Alligator mississippiensis: one gene and its partner. The protein of the gene in region 2 purifies or fractionates together with the protein of the main gene of each other region. This does not show direct contact. Links are inferred from orthologs where the notes say so. Each region holds a gene or a part of one and is shown on either strand. Other genes may lie near its edges.

Region 1 (12,195 bases), on a different chromosome or scaffold from region 2:
ATTAAAAGCAGTGGAATTTTGACATCAGAGCATGCCCTTTAATTCCCAGACAGACAAGTGACAATGGTAGTTTCTATGCAGTAGGACATTTAAGATAGGAGAGGCAAGAAGTTTTTTGAGTGATAACTTTTATTACAGAGGAAGAACTGTATAGTTGGGATAAACTCTTACAAGCTTTTGAATGCAAAGCATTCTTCTTCAGCACCTGATTGTATATGTATTATAACCTTCAGGTCCTGAAGAAGAGTGCTTTGCATTTGAAAGCCGGTCTGACTTTATCCTAACTATAGTTTGTCCAATAGAACGTATCACCACAAACAATCCACAATTCCAGCACCAACACTGCCACAATATCACTGTAACACTGCCACATTTTAAATGAAACAGACAGTTCTGTGGTTTTAAGACAATGAGAAATATCCGTATATTACCTTAATATGACTTACAAAGAGCTCTGAGAATTTCATCAGGCATGAGGTGGACTGGATTTTAGACTGTAGCAAGACTAGCAATACCTGTTACATTCTATGACTGTTCCATTAAATTCAATAAATTGATCAGTTGCTGTTTTCCACCTTTTTAAAAGAACTAGAGTAGATTCACCACTGATTGCATGAGAAGCAAGACTAAACCTTGGGTGTTTCTACCCCAGGCCAAGAAAAGAATTATTCATATATGAGTTTTGATTAGAGTTGCTATTGTAGCTTTACTCAGCATGATATGGGAGTGACACTTATGATGAATGACATGAGAATGCCTTTCTGGAGGCACACAGGTCTCATGAATATTACTCACAAAGATAATACAGGATATATTCACAAATAATAAAACATAGAAAATAAATGTTGATGTTATCATTATATAGGAAAATATATGATGAGAGCATGTACCTGTATTTGTTGTTAAATAATAAGTAGGTCTTTTAAAGATATTGAAAGAAATAGCAGTTTAGATTTGATTCTAATAGTAACTGATGTCATTGCAAAAAGTCTCACTTTCCTCAGTGGACACTGGAGAAGGAATTAAATTATTTTTATATCATTGGGTACATCTACACATGCGCTTTACTGCACAGTCGACTAATTTACTATGCGGAAAAGCATCACCATCTACACATACACTGCAATTAGGGCACAGTACATTAATTTACTCCAGCACAGGATAGTCCTGTCAGACACGAATACTATCTGACAGCTGTAAAGGCCAGACTGCTGATAACAGGACAAATTAACTACCCCTGTTAATGACAGTAGAACCAGGCAGCATTGCTCAGTGTGGTCCAAGATGACAACTTACAGAGAAGCGTGCTTGGCTGCTAGACAGTGCAGAAGGGTAGCTTATAAAGAAACAGAGCTGAAATGCTGTGAGCCTGCTTGCTGGAGACAGGCAGCGGAGAGGTAAGCCTGCAGATTGAATAACAGAAAAACCTTGTGCTTGGTTCTGAAGAGCAGGCCCTTAGGTTGACAAACAATATACAGGTGATACTGAATCTATTTGTAGCCCACCAGATTAAAAATATTGCATTCAAATAATATTGAGGACTTCAATCCTGTTCTTCAATATGTTGTATGCATCATTATGCATCTTGTAAAATGGTAATGATTTGCACTTCTATAGTTCCTTTCATCCAAGACTTACAAATTCTTGTGAGAGACTGTCACAGCACTTTTCCTAACATTAGGTAAGCCTCAGAGCATTCCTTTTATGGATGGCATTACTGTGTAGGTTCACAAGTAGCTATTCTGTGCCACAGAAAAGTTGCATGCCTTGATCAAAACCATGAAGTCACTATTACTCAGAAGCAGAGCTAAAAGTACACCAGAATTGCCATTCACATATGTCTTTGATTTTTCAAGTGGGAATATTCCCACTTGATGTGCATGTAAATACAGCAATGTCTGTCACAATTTCATGAATCAAAAAGGCAAAGAAATTTTGAGTAAAGATGGCTCTCTGGACTTACCTTTTTCACATTAATGTGTCTCATTTGGTTCTACCCATCAAGTATGAATTAAATCAGGTAGACAAGGTTCTTTGGGTAAACCCAATATCTTTTATTAGACCAACTAAAATAGTTGGAAAAAAGTCTTCTTTGCAAGCTTTCGCATACAAACTAACGTAAGGGTGTTTATATCCAAAAGCTTGCAAAAAGATCTTTTCCAACTATTTTAGGTGGTCTAATAAAAGATATCAGACGTACCCAAAGAATGTCGTCTGTCTGTCCTTTGACCAACATGGCTACAACCTATACCCCTGAATTAAATCAGGTGGCATCTATCAGAAAATGTTATCAAATATTGTTCTCTGGTAAAGGAAATAACTTGCAAGCCATTCCATTTTGATTAAGAGTCTCATCATTGGTAGATTCTGTTGGAGCAATTCTTTCTTCTTTCCCATGGGCAAGGGAAAGAAGAAAGAATTCTCCCATGAATTACTCATTAATGACGACAACTTCTTATGAGGGAATACCTTGTTTTATACATGCTCCAACCTGCGGTCTGTCTTTGTATGATAAAGTAGAATGAACCCTCCCTGTGGTTGAAATCTTTACTCAAATACATCATCAACCAAACATGCCACAAAGACTAGAAGACTATGAAGACAAAACAAAAGACAAGTTTTGTTGCCTGTGAGCGGCAGTTAAAAGCTAGGAGGAGATATATTTTAGTGGGTCTCTGTTATTTATGTTGACATTCTAGTGCCCTTTAAAGTTGTCTTGTTTTCTTGCTGTTCTCCTGTTTTACAAGTGATTCTGAACTTATTGCAAGCCTCTCTGAGCCTTTGTGGGGAAGGATGGCATATAAATTGAATAAATAAATGGCATGCATTATGATGCAACTCCTTACTGATGAAAACATATTTTCCTATATAGAAACCCTACCCCACCCCATCTATTGTGGACAGAAAAGCCAAGGAGGAAACAACTGGAGAGAGAATAGACCAGCTTGGCCCTTGTCATAGTCCCTCCAAAGCACAGCAGAGGCAAGTGGGTGGTGAAATGTCTGAGGATTTGGCTCCTGCTCACCATGATATAATTACACAATAAACTGCTCCATAGCACAATAAATTTAGACCAGCCACATGGGCAAAGCCATTCTCACAAGATAAAATCCGTTATCTAGCTCTTCAGAAGAGCCAACCTGCTCCCAAGCTAGTGCTTGAAAACATGCAACACCTCTGTAGCTGTTTTCTCTCCAGCTTTCATGTGAATGTGTGGCAGGGCCCCAAACCTTGCATGCCCTTTGATTTCATAGATTTCATAGACAATAGGGCTGGAAGGGACCTTGAAGATCATCAAGTCCAGCCCCCTGCCCCAGGGGCAGGAAGTCAGCTGGGGTCAAAGGATCCCAGCAAGTTAAACATCCAAACACTTCTTGAATGAGTCCAGAGTAGATACTTGCACCACCTCTGGAGGGAATCTATTCCAGGTCTTGGGGGCTCGGACAGTAAAAAAATGTTTCCTTATGTCCAGCCTAAAACGGTCTTGGAGGAGTTTATGACCATTGGTCCTTGTTTTTTCTTGGGGCGCTCTGGTGAACAGATGTTCTCCCAGATCCTGATGTACATCTCTTATATACTTATAAGCAGCCACCAGGTCCCCCCTGAGCCTGCGCTTTTCCAGGCTGAAGAGTCCCATGGCTCTAAGCCTTTCTTCATAAGGCATATTCTGTCATCTGATCACGCGCGTGGCTCTCTTCTGGCCTCTTTCAAGCTTCTTGACATCCTTCTTGAATTGTGGAGCCCAAAACTGGATGCAGTATTCCAGCTGCAGCCTCACCAAGGCTGAGTACAGCGGGAGGATGACATCCTAAGATTTACTTGAGAAGCATCTATGGATGCATGCCAGAGTAGTGTTTGCTTTGCCAACTGCGACATCACATTGGTGGCACATGTTCATCTTGTGGTTAATCATGACCCCTAAGACTCTTTCAGCCATGGTGCTAGCAAGCATAGCGCTGCCAAACCTATAAACATGCTGCGGGTTTTTTCTCCAAGGTGGAGTACTTTACATTTATCTATATTGAACGTCATCAGGTTTGTATCCACCCAATTACTAAGTTTATCCAGGATTACTAGCCTGTCCTCCAGTGTGGATGCTATGCTCCACAGTTTAGCATCACTGGTGAGTGTGCTTCTGACACCAATGTCCACATCATTGATAAAGATGTTAAAAAGAACCGGTCCAAGGACAGAGTCTTGGGGGACGCCACTGGTCACGGAGCACCATGATGATTCGCTACCATCGACCACTACTCTCTAGGTCTGACCTCGGAGCCAATTACCCAGCCATTGGACTGTGGTGAAGTCGAGGCCACAGTTGACCAATTTTTCCATGAGGAGGTCATGGGACACCAGATCAAAGGCTTTTTTAAAGTCCAGGTATATGACATCAATCTCTTCTCCCTTGTCCAAGTGATACATCACCTGGCCATAGAAAGAGATGAGATTGGTCAAGCAAGACCTACCTGCAACAAACCCATGCTGGCTATCTGTCAGGATGTTGCCTTTGGCCTGATTATCCAGAAGGGTGTCCTTGATAATTTCCTCCAGAATCTTACCGGGGATTCAAGCTGATTGGCTTGTAATACCTGGGATCAACTTTCTGCCCTTTCTTGAAGATGGGTACCACATTGGCCTTCTTCCAGTCTTTAGGTACTTCACCTGAGCACCACAAATTTTTGAATATTTTTGCCAGTGGTTGGGCTATGACACCTGCCAACTCCTTGAGTACTCTAAGGTGTAATCTGTCAGGACCAGATGACTTGAAGGTGTCCAGCCTCTCAAGGTGATCCTTTACTAGATCAACACCGATGCTGGGTATAAATACTCCCTTACCCTGGCCATCTTGCATCTTGCTAGGCAGGACAGTCCTGTTGGAGTGATGAAAGACCAAAACAAAATACTCATTGAGCAGATCGGCCTTTTCCTGGATGTCGGTTATCAGCTGTCCCGTTTGGTTCAGCATGGGTCCAATGTTACCCTTGCTTCTTTTCTGACTCCCTACATATCTTGCCAGCACTGGGGTTGTTATGTGAGAAAACAAGGGCTCAGTGTGTCCCAGCTGGAAGAGACCTCCAAAGATCATCTAGTTCAGTGGTTTTCAACCTTTTATCACTTACAGCCCCCTAAAAATTTTCAAATGGAGGTGCACACCCCTTTTGAAATTTCAAATGGAGGTGCGGACCCCTTTGCATTGTAAGTGTGGGCATTTACATACTTTTGATTGAACATAGTCATCTTTTGTGGATCCCTTAGACAGTCTGCAGATAACAGGTTGAAAACTACTGATCTAGTACAACCCCCTGCCTCAGGCAGGATCATCCCTATCCAAACCATAACCTAAACTCTACGTAAGACTACCGTCAACCCTGACACGACACAGCCCTAACACCTTAATCCACCTGAGGTAAAGCAGGGGAACCACAGATCTCAACACCCCGCTTCTCTGAAATGTTGTCAATATAGTGCTTGGGAGGAGGTTGAAGGTGGATGGAGCAGCGCTCAATTCTGCCAGACTCTATTGGTGAGGGGGGCACGGAGGCTGGGGCGTATGGTGACCGCTGGCAGCGTCGGTGGCAGCCAGTGGCGAGTGGCGACTGCCTGCAGGGGGTACACCGTCAATCTCAGGAGGTGTGCGTGCACCCGCATGCCGATGAAACCACTGGAACAGGTTACCCGGAGAGGCGGTGCAATCTCCATTCTTGGAGGTTTTCAAGACCCTGCGAGACAAAGCTTTGGCTGAAATAATCTAGTTGGGGATGGTCCTGTTTTGAGCAGGGGGTCTGACTAGATGACCTCCTGAGGTCCCTTCCAGCACTCATTTCCTTCGAGTCTATGATTTGGAAAAGCATCACCTGATTTCTAGCAGATGTCTTCTTTTATGAGGACGGGTGGACAGAGGTGCTCATTGTTACCCGGCTCAGGTTCTGGAAACACCACAACAGGTTTCTTTTGGTAACACAGGGGTGAGCCCCAACACTCAGGCTCAAGCCCCAGCCGGCTAGAGGTGGGCTCATCTGCAGTTTGCACTAACTGGTGTTCTGTTCTGTTCTGTTCTGTTCTGTGTGGAAAGACTGGTGCAGGATCACACTTGGAAACCTCCCCCCAGTCCAGCAGGGCCGGGCCGGGCCGGGCCAGGCCGGACGGAGCGCGCGGGGCTGGTGCCATGGCCCGTCTCCGCACGGCGGCGAGGCTCCCCGCACCAGCCGGCCCGGCACTCCCGCACAAATTGTCGCCACAAGGTGCCGGGAGGAAGGGAGGGCAGCGCCCCCACCCGCCGCCGCGGCAGCAGGGCAGGGGCCTTTGGCGGCGCTGCCCCGAGGGGGGCGGGCTTCACCTGCGCCCTCCCAGGTGCGGGCAGGCCGCTCCCTCGCCCCTGGGCGGCGCGGCTCCATTTCGTGCCGGCCGCGGCCTGAGCTGGACCATGGCTGCGGGGCGCGGGGCTTGGCTGCTGGCGCTGGTGAGTGTGCTCCTCGAGCGGGGGCTGCGACGCCGCGGGGGGCAGCGCCCTGCGTCCCTGGCTCCGCGCCCGGGGACAGCCCGGGCCGCTGCCGACACCCCCCCCCCGGTTCCCTGGGGTTTGAAGGGGATTGGAGCCCCCCAAATCATGTAGGGGCCGGGGCCAGGTGAGGGGGCCGGGCCGGGTGGTGCAGGACGGGCGGGGCGGATCCCGCCGCGGGCAGGGCAGGGCTGCGCTGGGGGCCCGGCGTAGCCCTGGCTGCCTGGTTAGCGCTGTCCGAGGTTACACGGGCTTGTGGGAAGGTCGCCTCCCTTCTCAGCGCTTCAGGGGTGCTGGTCTGAGACAAGAAGACGTACAAGCAACTAGGACTGGCGGTTCCAAAATGATCCCTTTTTATTAGACCGCCTGGGGCTTCCCCACCTCCTCCTCTTGCCTGGACTCTGCTGCCTTATGGCAAGCCGCCCCCAGGCTTTGTGGAGGAAGGGGGACACCTAAATGGGAGAGTGGGTTTTTTGCTCGCTGGTTCTTTCCATCCCGTGAGGAAGGGTGAAACTTTAAACTGAATGTCATCCCAGGCTACGGAGGGGAAGTCAAAGCCTCGGGTATTTCATGGAACTGAAGTGGTCTGGCGGCCCTGTCCTGTCAGCTCACTGCCAGCACTTTTCTTGGCTCGTCATCTCTTTTGCTCCCTGGCGAATTTAATTTACCTATGTAAATGAAGTGTGTTTCTCTACTGAATATTTAGGGTATTTGGTATTGGGTTATCCTTTCCTTTCTTTGAAGTGGATATCAAGAGTCCTTTGAGTTTGCTTGTATGATAATTCTAGTGGCGGTTCTTGTGAGTACGAGATTTTTGTTATGCTTTTATGTATTTTTTATATATTTCTAATAAAAAAAATAATCTTTTGCTCACTGGCAGCTTGTCTGAGCAGCCAGCAGGCTAGACAGCTGACTAGGGTGGCCATCATAGAGGACAATCCGGTTGTCCTCTGTTGATACAAAACTGGATGCCTTTATGTGCTCTATTTTTCTCTTGAAGAGAAGGATCGAGGACGTAAAGGCATTGGGTTTCGTATCAATAGAGGACAGAGTAGCAGAAAACTGGAATGTCCTCTATGATGGCCACCCCACAGCTGACAGAGCCACACAAGCAAGAGGTGGGCAGCTGGGGGCTGTGTGGCACTTGCCCACCCCAGGAACCAAAGAGGGCAGGAAGCCTGGGAGTTGGGCAGCGCAGCAAGCCTGGCACCTTACCAAGCCATGGGCTGTCAGGTGGCCACAGGAGGTAGCTAGCTTGCCCCTCTGAGGGTTTTCTGTTTGAATACTTGATTTTGTTGAATTGGAATTGCCTCTGAAAAATTGCCCCAATGGATCATTTTTGATCAGCTTTCATGATCGCTTCCTAAGCTTTGGATGATAAAGGCAAATTGTCATAACACAGTCAATGAAGAAGTGAGACCATGTTGATAGGAAGTGTTTCACTCGCTGTTTTAAGTAACACAATGGACAAATTTACAAATATTGTACTAGTTTGAATGTTTCACAGATTCATCCTCTGGTAGGATTGGGGCTAACTGAAGGGCACTCCCTGGGCTCAGAACTCCACTGGTTTTGTCTGGTGTAGGAAGAAGGTATGGGCTGCTGTTGGAGCGATGATGGCTGTATGAGGCAAGTTTGCCTCAATACAAAATACTACCCACCCACCCACCCCAAAAAAACCCAAACAAACAAAAAAGACCCCCTGGAAAAAGGTGCTTTTGTTAATCATGGTAACTCGAGGCTAGATAGGACCTGAGGTCTAATTGAACTAGTGGTGTTAAAAGGTGTGCAATGTCCCATTGTCAGGTGGGATATACATTTACATCTACCTTGTTTAAGCTCTCAATCAAAAGAAGCACCTTTTTACCTAATCTAGACAAGACCGCAGTACTTGGTTGTCAGCACAAAAAAAAAAAAAAAAAAAAAAGAGAGAGAGAGAGAATAAAATCAGGAAGAGGAGGATCAACTTTTTGTCTTTATTTTCATATGTGGAAAAGGTCTCAAACGACAGAACTAAATAATAAATGTGGTTGTTTTGATTTAGTTCTGCTTGCTGTCTACTTCAGAAATACCAAGAATATAAAATAATCTCCTCCATGTTTTTGTTGGGCGTCTCCCTCGAGACTGAAAACAGGACCTTTCTTGGCTCTTAGTCAATGGGGTTAGAAATGTCCCATCTTTGACAATGAAATATTGTTTGAAATCTGAGTCAGGGGTAAACAAAAATAAAGTTAGTGTTGTAAAGGAGTGGCTAAAATCACTTCTCTCAGTATTTGCTCAAATTTGATTTCCTGGATACTGGTGACATTGTAACTCTTCTACCATGTCTATAATTAGCCACAGAGTTCTTTAGAAAAAAGCCAGAAGAAAAAAAGATATGCACCTCCAACATGGAAGATATTGAGCTTTTTCAGAATTTCATCGTTCAGCATAATGAAGCAGATATGAGCACTCCCTTACCTTTCCCCCTGCTACCTCCCATTCTTTACCTTTTTTATTTTGTAGAGAGTGTCTGTTCCGTTCCTACTTCCTTGGGGGCCAGATAGCCCCCTCTGTGGTGAGATGTATTGGAGGGAAGTTTTCGCAAAAACTTAAAAAAAAAAAGAAAAAAAGTAGAGAGAGAGAGACAGTGGAGAATTATTATAATATTCTTTATTAATTATATTATTATATTAATTGTCAGTTTATATTAATATTGATTATATAATATTAGTATATTATATATAATAGAGTAGAAATCTCCACTATATACAATATTAGTGAAGATTTTTCCTCACAGTATCCTACTATAAATGGAGTTTGTTCATCTCATCTGCAGCCTAGTGGATTTCTCCAAGTTTTTTCCTACTTGGAGAAACTACAACTACTCACTTAAAAGCCCTGAATTTCTACAGCAGCAGTAGTCGATGAAGGCCTGCCTATATCTAGCATCTGATGAAGTGTCCTCGAGTTCATGAGAGTTTATGCTTTCTATGTAGATCTTATTTAGTTAGTCTGCAAGGTGCATATCTATGCAGTCTCTTCTGCCCGAGTTCAGACAAACATAGTTAACCATCTCACACAGCCTTCACTGAGAACCCAGCTCTGTTAGACTCCACCTTTGTCCATACAGTTCCCAGGGACCATAAGTAGATCCTCAGAAGATGTAATGCAGTTCTGACACCATGTGTGTTATTAGTAGTGTACAGTTTGAGTATAGATCTCAGAATAAAGGAATAGGGGTTAAATTATCAGGTTTATCTCAGAGAGGTCCCTCTGATTCCATGACAGGTTAGTTTCTTTAAGAGTCTTTGAGGGACCTCAGAGCTTTTAAAAAATCCAGGTATACTATATCAAGTGGATCCTTGATATCCAAAATTTTGTCTTTTTTATTATAAAGCCTGCCTAATTTTATGGGGACAGAAATTTAAACCCACTGATATAGCTCTGTGATTTATGTATTTATTAGGCTTATTCCTTTCTGCAGGAGTGTTGATTTTCATTACTTTAGGATTGCTGTTACAAAGTGGCTTATCTAGATAGTGTTTGAACCACATCCTGCCATTATTCAGGACTAAAAACAACAGTTGCTTCTTGTCTTGAGAGTTCCAGAACTAGTTACTGTGACAGGAGCAAGCTTTCATGCCTGGTGCAAGCACCGACCTGCCCCCTGTCTACAGGTCAGCCACCCACCTCACTTATCTGCCATGCCTTGGTGTAATAATATTGATGTGATAGTTGGGCAGGAGGCTGCCCATTATACACCCTGATTTGGGGGGGGCTATTCACAGCTCAGTTCCACCCCTACACTGTGGCCCAAGCCTCACAGATGGCATCTCAGGCAGGCATCTCAACCATCCCCTTCACCCATTAGCCGTGGCCCCTTTTTCTGGGACCTTCTGCTTCCCTTTAAGCCCTGGCCCTATCTCAGGCCAGTCAGGACCTCAAGCTTCTCTGCTTTATAGGAGCATCCCTCACAGTGGGCCCCTGGCCCTTTTGACCCCAATCTGAGTCCTGGCCCCAGCATTGACCAGTCAGGTCCCTTGGGTTTGGTCTAAGCCTCCCGCCTGCACTCAAGGATCAGAGTCCCCGTTCCTGGCTCAGGTACTTCACAAAGCATGCCTCAACCTACAGGGTCAGCTCACCCCAGCAGGCTCAGGAGCTTCAAGAAGCTTACCTGGCCTTCCCTGGATTAGATGGATAATATGACACACCCAAAGGCAAGGGCTACTCACCTTTCACTGGGGTGGTAACTGGCCTGGCATTTTCCTGGGGTTTCCATGCCACTGGGAGCCCCACCAGGCCTCCCATTCCCAGCAGGGCACAGTTTTAGGTCATGCCCAGGATGAGAGCCTCTTGCTCCTACCTGCAAGATATTCCCATGCAGCAGCTTAGCCAGGCAGTGTTTCTTGCCTAGTCCCTAGCAGGAAACTGCTCTAGTTTATATAGGTGGCCAGAGTTCTAGAATGGCTGCCGTAATCAAACACCTGCTGAGTGTTTAATCTAGCCCTGAAAGTGGCAGGCACCACTGGTGCCCTGCCACAGTTACCATATTTAGTCACATATAAGATGACTCTGAATTTAAGACTACCCCCCAATAATTAGAATCTGTATATGAAAAATATATAAGCATGTTGTTATTTCCCAGGTATAGAAACTAATCATTGGAGATTTGTCTTGAATTTGGCCCCCTTGCACTGCTACAGCAGGGAAAATTAAGTTTGGGGCATCAGGTAGCCTCCTTGTCCTCTGCCTCCCAGCTTCTTCCTCCTGCAGCCCCTTCCCTTCTGCCCCAACTGACCCAGTCTTTCAGACCCTGCTCTCCCTGAGCACATGGAAGTGAGGCAAATCTGAAAACACTGGGTGTGTCTACACAAAACACTAAAAGTACGGTAGACTAATTTTCTTGTGCATTAGCATGTCATGGCAAAAGCCATGGTAACGTGCAGCAGAATTAATCTACTGTGCATAGCATCACCTAAAAGATTATTACAGGTACTAAACTTAATGTGCTGTAATTATGGTGCGTTAATGCACATGTAGAAGTGCCTACTGCATTTGAAGTAAACATATCTGTAGTAATTTGCATATAGGCTTAGATCATACAGAACTGATGTATTTTACCTTTTTTGAAACTGCTGCAAGTTTTAGCACAGGGACTCCATAAACGCACAGCACTTCTGTACGTACAAATAGTATAAAGTACGTATAGTTTCATAGTATCTAGGGTCAGGAGAGACCTGATCAGATCATTTAATCTGAACCCCTGCCACAGGCAGGAATGAATGCTGGGTTCACAAGACCCCAGACCGGTGATCATCTAACCTCTTTTTGAATTTGCCCATGGTAGGGGCGAGGACCACTTCCCTAGGAAGTTGGTTCCAGATTCTGGCCACCCTAACTGTAAAATATTGCCTTCTGAGCTCTAATTTAAACCTATTCTCCATCAGCTTATTACCATTGTTCCTCGTCACCCCAGGTGGTGTTGGGGAGAATAGGGCTCTTCCTATTTGCTGATGATCTCCCCCGATGAGTTTGTAGGCAGCCACCAGGTCCTCCCTCAGCCTCCTCTTGCTGAGGCTGAATAGGTTCAGGTCCCTCAGTCTCTCCTCATAGGGCCTGTCCTGCTGCCCACTCACCAAACAGGTGGCCCTCCTCTGAACCCTCTCCAAACTGGCCACATTCTTTTTAAACTGCGGTGCCCAGTGCTGGACGCA
Region 2 (12,087 bases):
TGTGTGTCCACTCCAGCCCACAGTAAGTGAAACCAAGGATTTTTTGTAACTGTTTCACCCTTCAGTAAGATACCTGGTATGACTTCCATGTCCTATGGGATAGGTATGGACAAATCCCAGGACATCATTCTCCCCTTGTACTTGGCCTTAGGGAGGCCTCAGCTGGAGTACTGCGTCCAGTTTTGGGCTCCACTATTCAAAAACGATGTGGAGAAGCTTGAGGGAGTCCAGAGAAGATCCATGTGCATGATCAGAGGTCAGGGAAGCAGACCCTACGATGACAGGCTGAGAGCCCTGGGGCTCTTTAGCCTGGAAAAGCGCAGGCTCAGGGGTGATCTGATGGCCACCTACAAGTTTATCAGGGGTGACCACCAGTATCTGGGGGAACGTTTGTTCACCAGAGTGCCCCAAGGGATGACGACTAGGTTGAACGGTCATAAACTACTACAAGACCGTTTCAGGCTGGACATAAGGAAGAATTTCTTTACTGTCCGAGCCCCCAAGGTCTGGAACAGCCTGCCACCGGAGGTGGTTCAAGCGCCTACATTGAACACCTTCAAGAGCAAACTGGATGCTTATCTTGCTGGGATCCTATGACCCCAGCTGACTTCCTGCCCTTTGGGCAGGGGGCTGGACTCGATGATCTTCCGAGGTCCCTTCCAGCCCTAATGTCTATGAAATCTATGAAATGAAACAATTGCAGCAGGTCACCTGGCTTGGACTGGGGAGTTGTAACCCACCTCTCCCACCCTTTTACATAGGTAGAATTGTGTTGTCTGTCGACAGCCCCACTTCCTGGTGTATGGTGCCAATGACAACTTCAAAGGTAGTGATAACATCTCCCTGCTTTCCTCCTTCCCTATACCTCAGCCAGTGCTGGTGCTGATGTTATAATGGTGAATGAGATGCTGGTGGAAGTGCTAATCCCTAATGTATCTGTCCTCATATAAAGCCAAATCCTTCTCTCCAGCACTTGCCCATAATACACCCCCCACTTCAGCCCCATGCTCCTGTCCAGTTTGCACCCTGGCATTGTAGCCTGGGGAAGGATCACAGGATGTTCCCAGAGCCACATAAGGGGGATGGGAACAGCCTAGCACACCACTTTGGCTGCTGTGTGCACAGCGAGGGGCTCTTGGAGCTGATCATTATTTCCACAGGCCTCTGATGTAGGCCAGCTCCAAAGCATTGCCGTGGTGCATTAGCGGATTCAATTGAATTCTGCCGAGGGAGATGGAGGAAAGTGCGGATGGGCTTGTTTCTCACAAATGACTTTAGGAAAGCACAGTGCATTGATGTTTTTTAATGGGGCTATGAACCAAAGCCTGTTAGCATTGTCAGGAAATGGAGTTATAATAATAGTCTTCCTTCTGACGGTTGAAAAGGGGCTACGGAGGGACCAGCTACAAAGTGTGCTGGCAGATAATTGCGTTATCCGACTTGTGCTGAACACAGGGGAGATCTCTGTACTCTAATCCCTGGGCAGGACACACCAAGTGGGAAACACATGTGCAGCTCCTGTTCCGCTTGTCAGCTGCTTAATCTGGTACCAGGAGATCAATGAGCACTGGGCATGTGGGACATGCACTCCCCCCCTGGTGAAGTAGCATGGAAAGGAGGAGAACTGGCCCAGTTCTTGAAAGTGGTGCTTTCCCGGTTTTTCAGGACCTGATGGCAGGAGACAGGAGGCAGATTAGCCTCTTCACGGGCAGGATGGGGGTAAAGGACTAGCTTTGATGTGGGGTTTGTAGGCCAGTTTCTGGGGCTCATGTTCTCCTCCTAAAGCAGGAGAGGGGAACTGTAAAGCCTACCCTGATTCATAGATTCATAGATTGTAAGGTCGGAAGGGATCGAGGAAGATCATCGGATCCAGCCCCCTGCACCAAGCAGGAAAGATAACTGGGGGTCAGGTGAGCCCAGCAAGGTGACTGTCTAGTCTCCTTTTGAAGAGCTCCAGGGTAGGTGATTCCACAGTCTGGACACCCTGACTGGGAAGAAGTTTTTCCTAATGTTGAGCCTGAATTGATCTTCCAGGAATTTGTGGCCATTACTCCCGGTTTTCCTCTCGGGTGCCCTGGTGAACAGTTGCTCACCGAGCCCTTGCTGTACTCCCCTCATGTAGCAGTAAGCTGCTACCAGGTCCCCTCTCAGCCTTCTTTTCCCCAGGCTGAAGAGTCCCAGATCCCTCAGCCTTTCCTTGTATGACTTGCCTTTTAAGACTCTGATCATACAGGTGTCTCTTCTTTGGACTCTCTCAAGCTTGTCCACGTCCTTGTTAAAGAGTGGTGCCCAGAACTGGACGCAGTACTCTAGCTGCGGTCTCACCAGTGCTGAGTAGAGCAGAAGAGTCACTTCCTTGGTTTTGCTGGAGATGCATCGATTGATGCAGGCCAGAGTATCATTTGCCCTACTGGCTACAACATTGCACTGCCGGCTCATATTCATGATGCATGCTGCGGTGCAAGTCCATGGCTGCCAATTGAGCTGGGATGGTGACAAAAGCATGGGAACCCCTCTGGTCCCTCCACCCCAGCTCTTTCTGAGGTGCAGAGGCAGCCTCCAAGACCTGCCTTTTCCATATTCTGCTTCATTTAGCTAAGTCCAGTATTTCTCTGTCCTCTGTTTTTTGCGGGGGACTTTGGCCATGGGCAGGGTGGGGAATCCACAGCTGGGAACCTGCACAGATGCCCCAGGGCCAACCCTGAATAGAAACAGGCAGAATGGTGCTTAAATATACCTTGGTCCTAAACTGGGATAGAACAAGAGGTTATTAACTGCAGCGTTCCTTGCCTACACCCACGGAGGGACACGGCTTGTGGAATCCAAGCTAATTCCACCTCCACCCTGCCCCTCTGGAGAACCAGCAGGATTCTTACGTGCCAAGGAAGTGAAGCTTGTGATTATTAACAAGCTTGTGAGGAAGTTCTTGATCAGTCTTGCTAATGATCTGTGATGCTCTTTCGACCGAACTGCATAGCCAACAGTTAGTGATGTAGCACCCTGGCCCCTTCAGTCAGAGGCTGAGAAATTTCACTTTGGTCCTCCAAGGAGACCTCTGTCAAAAGCAAAAGGAAAAACCTAATAGTTCCCAAAAAAACAAGCAGCACTGAAAAATAAGACCCCTGCAGGCCAGCTCTGTGCGTCAGAAAGGAACAACAAATGACTCAAGTTCTTGTTTTAGAGGTCTTTTATTTTTTGTTTTGCTTTATATGCAGGTCACTGAGAACAAAAGTTGTTTTTTTCCCCTCTTAATAAATTCTCAGCAATGTCTTAGGGGCAGCAATGATTGCAACAGGTTTCACGTGCAAGGCTGCTTGCTTGTACTCAGGATGTGGATTTGATTGAAAGCAGAGTGAGAAGGGGTTAATAAAATTTCCTTCTACAGGCAGAGGAAAATATGAATACAGAGCCCAGAGTCCCACCAAGGTGATAACTGACAGGTGAGCAGAGATATTGTAAGGATGGGGGGAGGGAAGATTGTGCCAGGAAGATCATTTCGCTGCAACCAGCCAAGGTGTAAGAAGAGATAAGGAATGGGCACGGATGGCAGTAAGGGAGGTGCAGGAGGCAGGTGACTGCAGGGCTCCATCTCTGTGCCACCACTGTGAAACCGGAGCAAAGCCCATTGAGGCTGAAATTGGCAGCTGGTTTCAAGCATGTTCTTTCTGGGGGTGGGGGATAATCCTGCTAGACAGGTAGACCCCTCCATCCCTGCTTTCCCAGAATGGGGGTGGCTGGGAAGAATGTGTAATGTACAAATCACAGGAAAATGCAAACCTGAATGGAAATGGAAAGAGACAGGACAATGGTGGCAGCCACTTTGCCTACTGGTTCTGTGGTTTGTGAAGCTATCCAAGGGTAGCAGTCCTTACACCTTGTAGTCAGGCCACATGCTTCCTGCCAGAACACTCCTAGCTTCCAGGAACAAGTGCTTGGTTACACTGGGACCCAAATGCATTGTCTTGAAACTCTCTGTGTGGAGAAAGACACAGGTGCCTCACCTAAGTTGCTGTGCAGGGCCATGCCTTGCCTGGGCTGGTCGTCTTGTCTGTAAAAGCACCTGATGATATCTGCTGTGCACATGTTTGTTTCCAAACTGTGCAAGCCATGAGTAATGCCACAGTCATATTTGGCTCTGCTCTGGCAGCTTTCATCTGAAGCTTTCAAAGCTCTTTGCAAATATGAGGCAGCCAGAAGGCCTCTGATAATTAAAAATGGAAAATAGAACGCTTTGTGTTCCTAGTAACACCTTCTGTGGGAGGATCGCAAAGCACATTCCAGCAGTAATGAATAAATCCTCCCCCTTTGCCGGAAGGGAGGTGAGTCTCATTATCCTCATTTGAGCAGGGAAGAAGAAGAAGAAGCGAATGTGGGTATTTAGGGACAATATTTTCAAAAGTGTCCAGGGATTGTGGGTGTTCAACTTAAGACTCCTTGGCCTGCTTTTTCCAAGGTGATTATGCAACTCCTGTGAAAATCAGGGCAATGATCTGAGCACCCAGAAATTGATGTGCCTGAAATCAGAGACTGACATTGGGGAAATTTTGTGGCTGAAGTGACCTGCCTGAGTCCCTTGAGGAATCAATGACAGATCAAGGAATAGAAGGCAGGCTCCTGACTCCCAGTTTGAACCCCAAACCTGTGAAACCCAATCGGCGTGCTGCCATTTTTCTGCACTGTACCATTGTCAGGGATAGATCTATGGGGGGTGCAGTGGCATGGTTGCATGCCCATTCCACAGTAAATGTCATGCACCAGTGTGACATCTCCCTGTGCTTGGGTCTCCTGCCGTGTCCAAGACATGGCTGGAGCCCTGGGCTGGAGTGAGACACCCAGGGGGATAAATCAGGGAGCAGCTGAGTGATGGGGGGCCTGCCCACTGCAGCCGTTGTCTGTAGCTGACCAGGGAGTGGTGGAAGCCACAGGACTGCTCCTATCCTGCTCCATCCAGCCAAGGGCTGCAGGGACTGGCTGAATGGGCTGCTGGGTCAGTGGCAGTGACAGAGAGGAGTTCCTGCTCCCTCCCCATCCATTGCATTTCCCCCGCTGGCCAGGGGCTCCAGCTGTGGGGAGCACATGCACAGAGGGCCAGGCACATTGCAGGACGGTGGTATCAGTAGATGTTCTGCCCTGTCCAGCACCTGCTTCCAGACCATGGGAGAGAAGGAGCAATCCTGGGCCTTCACCTGCCTCCAGGTTAGTTGAGGACAGCACTGACAGTGGACTTCCAGGTGCTCCTGCTCCTTGTTAGTTCCCCAGGTGTCCCCCACAATCTGGGAGCAAGCACTGGAAGCAGGGACCCATATGTTGTCATTATCCCTGGCCAAGCCTGATGCTGCCACTTACCAAAGCCGCCCAGTGGAGTGGGGCAGGAGCAGCTCTGGAGTATCCCCTGCTCCTGCGATAGCAGGGAACAATGGCGGCAGTGGGTGGGTCCCCATTTTTTGCACCCAGAGGCAACCCCTGCTGGAGAGGTGAATGGGAGGGGAAGGAAGCGGGTGCTGAGAGTTGGGGGGGAGGGGGTCTTACCTGCTTTGTGAACTTAAAAAAGTCCTCAGCAGCTGCTACCTGGCATTGTCTGTGGTGGGGTGGGGGGGCCTTCAAAGTCTGTTGTGGCACCAGCGGCATTTCCTGCACCTCCTTTTCAAATTCCTAGATCTGCCTATAAACATTGTCCTACTGTTTCCCCTTCCTACCACCTCTTAACGTGATGCATTTTACCACTGTTGAAATACCGAGTCTTTCATACAGCGCCGTATCTCAGCAAACAGTTCTGAGAAGGAAATAATTTGGTTCCCAAGATATTTCACATTCAAGATACTTTATTGCTGTTTCGAGCCAGACAAAGGATTATCAAAGAGCGACTGAGATGGAACCCTGAGGTATTGGTCCCTGCTTGCATGTGTCCCTGGCGACGGCTTCGCACTACCACTGGGTTTTTTTCTTTTCCTGTCCATTTGTCACTATTGCCCATGAAAGGGTGGCAGGTTGCTACATAGCGAGACACAACTCCTACCATCTCGTTCCTCTCCCCTCGGGTCACGCACAGCTTTTCCTCATTGCTTTTTAATAGGAAGTCCTTTATCATTCCTGATCATTGGAGAAAATATGTTTTTTTTTCGCCTTTCCTCCGGACTCGTGATGCTAGCGTGTAGAAGTGACTCGCTCTTTCAATTTCTCTTCTGTCACATTGTTTGCAGAGCCAGTCCTGTCTGGGTTTGCGCTGTGTTGAGGGGGCGTGCAAGGGAGAAACCAATGCTTTCATAGGAGGCTAAAAGACAAATGGGGAGGAATTGGGCTGGTGCAGACATGAGGAGCAGGCTGCCATCAGAGTGGGAGCCGGGAGAAAGGTGGCCACGTCTAGATGAAGGGAGGGGAGCAGAGAAGGACCTGCTGTGCTTGCACCCAGGGCTTGCAGAAGGAGGAAGGTGCTTTGCAAGGTGCTCCTGCAATGAGCATGGAGCCAGAGGAGGTGTTTGAACGTGTGGCCATTGGACGTGGCTTGGCCCATCAACCCAACCAGGGGCAGACATTGCTGAGGGTGCCCGGGGGAGCAGGGAGCTGCCCATGGTGTCAGATCCCTCTCCGAGCCCTAACGCCCACCTGTTCCTACAGCCGGTCTCCCCTTGCCCATGGGCAGGGGCCCACCGTGGTCATTAGTAGGTGGGGGAACAGAATGCGGCGCGGTGGGAACCGCGCTGTGGCCGTGGCAGGGATCGGGGCCGCGGAAGGAGGCTCCTGGGACACAGGGCCGGGGAGGGGGCTGGAGGGCAGCTGTATGGCCCTCCCCCCGGCCCTGATCCACCCCAGCCCCGCTCAGCCTTCAGCCCCGCCCTCACCTGCATGACGTCACCCACGTGGGTTTCCCCCGCGCCACGCCCTCCCCAGCCCACCTGGCTCACTCATCCCCTCGACTCCCGTTCCGAACCCTCCCAGCCAATCACGGCCCCGCCTGCCCCCCCCCCCCCACCCCAGCGGAACGCGCCTCGGCCAATGGGCCGCCGGTCAACACAGACCGGGTGGTAACGGAACCCCACCCCTGCGGGCATGACGGAGCGCGAGCCGCGCCAATGAGCGGGCGGCGGTGAGTGGGCGGGGCGAGTGTCCATGGGGACGGGCGGGGAGGGCGGGGCCGGGCTGCGGGCTCAGGGTTCGGCTGCCTTTTGTTCGCGGAGGCGGCGGCCGCGGGCAGTGGCCGGGCAGAGCGCAGCGCGGGGCGCGCAGGTGAGTGCGGCCGCGGCCGAGCAGCGCCGTGTCCCTCCCTGGAGCCGGGTCCCCGGGCTCAGCCTCACCCCTACCCCGCCCGCCCCTGGGTCCCGGTGCCGGTGCCCGCCCGGCGGCGCCCCCCTTGCACCCTCTGCCCTGGCGCGGGGAGCGCGGCTCTGCCCAGCCCTGGCTGCGGGGCTCTGAGCTCGGCTCCCCGGGGGCATCCCGCCGGGGACGAGGGGCCGGCCCCGAGCTGTGCCCCCGGGAGGGGCCGGGGCAGGCGCCTTGCGCTCCCGGCCTGGCCCCTTTCCGTCGCCGCGTGGCCGGCGGCCGGGTAACAGGTGCGCACCTGCTTGCAGGGACCGTCAGCTGCCAGCCGTCCAGGAGGGTCGATCCCGTGGACTCGTGCCGCCGCCTGGGGAAGGAGCATACGCTGAGCTGGTATATCGACGTACGTGTGTGTGCTGTGTGTGGTGCTGTTAGTGTGTCTTTGACCAACGGCGCGGCAGTTAAGGGCTGCAAGCAAACTTGTAGGCATAACATTAATACAACTCTGGCATCCGACCCCTTGATACAGTAGCATTTGCAAATGGCCTTGGTTTCTGCTCTCCCCCCCCCCCGGCCCCTTTGAACGTGGCATGTGCGAGGCTACAGCTGAGCTTCCTGCTAGAAGTTGTGTTGCAAGGAGAAATTGGATCCTGATGGGATCTTGAGAGTTGGAAGGCTCTTATCTGTCTTGAGTAGCACGTGGGCCCCGTGACCCAGTGCATGCAGTACAACCAGCGGAAGGACTCCGCTGCTTATTAAGGATGAGTGGTGTAAACTGGGTTTTTCTTGGCTCTGGCAGCTTGACTTCTCAGCTTTTCATTTGCTGTTTGCTAATTTGGGAAATCGTGGGAACAAGTGAGGTAGCTTGATTTAGCCTTGATCGGTGCAAATGACAGAAATCACTGAGCGAGATCCTCTCCAAATTCACTTCAGCTGGTCCTTCAAATGTTCCTTTTTGTAAAGCGCATAATGGGGCTTTCCTGTTTTGTTGCTCTTTTCCGGCTGCAGATTCTTTGAGGAGCAAGTTTGCTTACTTGGCTGGCCTTTCCGTGACAGTACAACTGCTGTTTCACTGACTGTTTTGGGAGGAAGAGTCTAATAGTGTTCAGACATAGCTCTCCATATGCTGACATAAGATGGCAATTTCTTTCCAAGGCATGAGCACCAAGCACTTAAAACCATTCCTCTGTATAATTGACAGGGCAGAAGATCAACACATGAGCGGCTTTCAGGAAGAGATTGTAGTGCAGCTGCTTATAATCTAGGTATCGGAGAATGTCTGGTTTCTGATGCTGCTGTATGGTATTGGGTCATTATAAAACAATCGCAGCATGGTGCTTTCTGGGTTTGCTTGGAAAAAGTGGTATGTGATTGCGTGGCTTTTTGCAATACACACCAGTAAGTACAGTGATTATGTGTGTATTCGGGAGCATTTGCTGTTTCGGTTTCCCTCCATTAGAATCCACTGATAGGTTTCTCTTCCCCTTCCTTTCAGCAGCCCTAACCTTGGGTTATATCATTGACTGCTATTATGGCACCAATCCTGCTGGCTTGACAGGATGAAGGATGGTGAAAGCAAAGGCCTGGGAACTGGAGATGCAGGCTCTGTGCATGGATTCATTGTGGAGCTCCCAGTTTGACCTTGCCAGAGTCGCTTTGGGCCTATCTGTCAACACTACCCTGAGCTGTGCAGTGAGAATCCTGAAGTGCTACCGCGTAGTTTTGTCAGGCTTAACTTTTGAGGTTTCAGAAGCGCTTGGAGGTCTTGGGAAGGAACTGCTGGAAACTTGCAGAGTACTGAGGTGTCTGGTCTTGCAGCTTGTTGGGCATAGACACTTGAGTTGTGCAAGGATGTGTCAGGATTGTTTGCCACATAGTCAGCAGCTCAGTGTTGCTTCTGGGGTTTTGGCAGCTTGTGCCTCCTTGTTCTCTGTGCTCCTTCCAGGGAGAAGGGGAGGGCATTGCCCAGCGTCTGTCAGACTCCTCGGAGCCAAGTTTTTTTGCTCCTCTTTGAGCTTTGTCCTATTTGCTGCACTCCACAGGATGTTGGAGAAGCATGTGAGAGAGAGAAAATGAGAACACATTGGCTTTTGGGTGTCTGTCAGAGTACCACAAACTGCCTTAAAACAAGAGGGAGTTAGTGCTGCTGGTGTGGAAGTCAGTCAAGTGTGTAAGGAAGATATGAAATATGCTGCAACCTCTATTTTCCGAGTTCAGGTTAAAAAGCTGAGGAATGGAGTCTGGAGAAGGAATTCGTGCGGTAAAATTAGAAGTGTGCTGTCTGCTACGCTGCAGGGCTTTTGGGGGGGGGGGGGGGAGAATACTCCCTTGCTGTCTTAGCCTTGACACTGGGAGAGGAGAGGGTGCTCTAATTGCATTAGCTAAATGATTAGCTTAATTAATCAGCTTTATAGCACAGATGAAAGGATAGTTCTGGAGTGTTGCTGGGAGTTGCCTAGGAAAAAAAAAGCTCTTGTATGAGGAGCTTGAAAAGATGCTCTCTGCCAGTGCTTCTAGTAAATTTTTTTTTTGTGTCAGTGCCCTAGTGTAGGCTGCTCTCAGTAGGGAGGGTATATTTTAAGTTACGCTGAAGAATAACAGCTATGCAAAAGACTGTAGGCGATGTGCATGGCACTGTACGAAATATCCAAATGGAGATCCCAGGAACAGGTTTCAAAGGCCTAAGGCAGTTGTTCTGATGTGAAGTGGCTTGATATGTAGCACTCTTTGGACTTTCCTTTTTGGGCTGGGATCCATTCTAATGCCCTCAACAGCCGTAGCATCTGGGCTTTCGGAAGTGGTGGGCAGTGGACATCTTGAGCTGGGGGGCGGGTAAAGCTGTAAAATACTTGGGATTCTCAATCAAGGTTGCCATTGTCAGTCACTTACAAGTGGATGTCGTTAGTGAAGCCTGGCAGGCACTGGACCTCATCTGCAGAAAGTACAGGCATGTTATAAAAGAAGAGACCTCCTAATGCTGACCATTTTCTTGGGTAGAAATTAAGGAGAGTCGAATGTCCTTTCACAATACCATCCAGCTCTCTAGGAAATCTGTTATTGTTGGTGTTCCTGCTGAGTGTCTGTATATAAAGATGCCTCCCCCCCCCCCCCCCCGCTCCACCTCTGGACAGGCATTTTCATGATGGAGATTAGATATGCTGAAAAACCTGCTGTTTATTTCTGGGGTCTTTCTCTGCCCTGAACCATCTGAATGCAAACGGCTATTTATTCTGAGGCAGGGCTGAGTTCAGCTGGGGTGTATTCCCAGCAAGCAGATCAGCATATTCCATCACTGCAACAGACAGAAGGATTGTGAGGTTTTGAAAGGCGAGGCTTATAGGTGTGTTCAAAAGCAAGGGCTGTGCCTTGGGAACCTTCTGAAATGAGTCATCCTGAACTCTGCCAGGAGGGAAACAAGCTGGCTACTTGCTTTCTCCCCCTCTCCTCCCCTCCTCAGGTTTTCTATCGGGTCGCTAAAAATACAACAGGGATGACATTAAGGAGGATTCATACCTCATGGGTCAGGTGCTGCTATGTCAAAGGGCCCTCCAAGCAGAGTGTTGAAATCTGCCAGTCCTGGGATTATGATGCTGGATGAGAGAAGTCAAAGGGAGACAGTTGCAGAAGTGAAATGGAAGGCCCAACTGGGTGTGCCCCACGCATAGTCACTGCAAGTCACTGTCTCATTGTACCTCAGCTTTCCCATCTGTGAACTGGGGAGGCTGATGATTGGCTTCTTTTGGAGCACCATGGAATAGCTACCTAGATCCAGTGTGGCTATTGGGCAGTACTTTACCCTTTGGTTGCACTAGTTCTTGGACTGGAAGAACAGGATTAATCTCATCTTCCCATATTTCTTTTGGACCAAAGAAGGGCAGAGGGCATATGAAAGCAGGAAAAAGAAAATGGCAGGGGATGATTGTAGGTTCCTGTCTATTTTTCACTGTGATCCTTTGTAACGTCCCACAGCCAGGTGCTTGTTTGCAGACTGCAATTCTAATGTTGCCTGTAATAGCCACAGTCACTAGGGTTCCTGTGGCAAACAATTTGAGGCCACTGCAGCCTGCGTCCCAAGAAGCAGTTGGCTGTCAGTACAATGGGCAAGGCTTTTCCATTCACAACCCAGGGGGCTTGTAGGAAGTCGCATCTGTTGCTTGATTCTCCTTGCCCTGTTCAAAACTTAAAAGGTTCTTGCCTACAGCTGGTGGATATTGGCTCCTGGATGAGCTTAGTGCAGTGTATACTGCTTGTCACAAGGAGTTGGATGCTGCTGCTGTTCAGTTAATCTCTACCAGGCAATCCCGTCTTTCCTTGAAATTCTTCCCTTCCTAATGGACCTTGTACCTCCAGCGGCATTTAATTTTGAAAATTACTCTCAAACCTTGGGGGTACTCTCTCCTACCTTGGGGGTCTTCAAGATGAGGCTGGACAGATTTGGCTGGGGTGATACAACACTAGCACCTGTTGCTGCCCAGGGCAGGGGGTCGGACCTGATGATCTATTTAGGTCCCTTCCGCCGCTAAGCACTATGATACTATGATTACCTAGACTGTCTTTCCTCTAAAGGCACTTAACCGGTACAAGAATACCAGTATATAACTCACTGGCAAACTTCCCTAATGTGGATGCAGCCACTCTGTGGGCACGGTGAAGTTACCCAGTGTAAGAAATACCAGTAGAAGCTTGGTCTCGCAGGTATCTGTTAGAGGGAAAACATAAGGGTGGGAGTGGAGCTAGTTAGCACAAGAACAGATGGGAATGAAATGGCCATGAATAAATTCAGGCTGGGAATAAGAAGTGAGATCCTATGTGATCAGGGAGGGTTTGGGAGAG

Evidence for each region.
Region 1: the proteins of JUP (region 2) and desmoglein-2 purify together in Homo sapiens (affinity purification with western blotting; 3 studies listed by BioGRID and IntAct, with this or other methods). This does not show direct contact. The link is inferred for Alligator mississippiensis from reciprocal best matches to the Homo sapiens genes JUP and DSG2.

The regions. Positions count from the first base shown.
Region 1 is NC_081826.1:81,646,767-81,658,961, reverse strand, and holds the start of desmoglein-2, read left to right. Parts: upstream 1-6,333; 5' UTR 6,334-6,424; coding exon 6,425-6,460; intron 6,461-12,195.
Region 2 is NC_081827.1:163,142,358-163,154,444, forward strand, and holds the start of JUP (junction plakoglobin), read left to right. Parts: upstream 1-7,130; 5' UTR 7,131-7,224; intron 7,225-7,565; 5' UTR 7,566-7,647; exon of another isoform or gene 7,648-7,657; intron 7,658-12,087. UniProt on the Homo sapiens protein: Common junctional plaque protein. The membrane-associated plaques are architectural elements in an important strategic position to influence the arrangement and function of both the cytoskeleton and the cells within the tissue.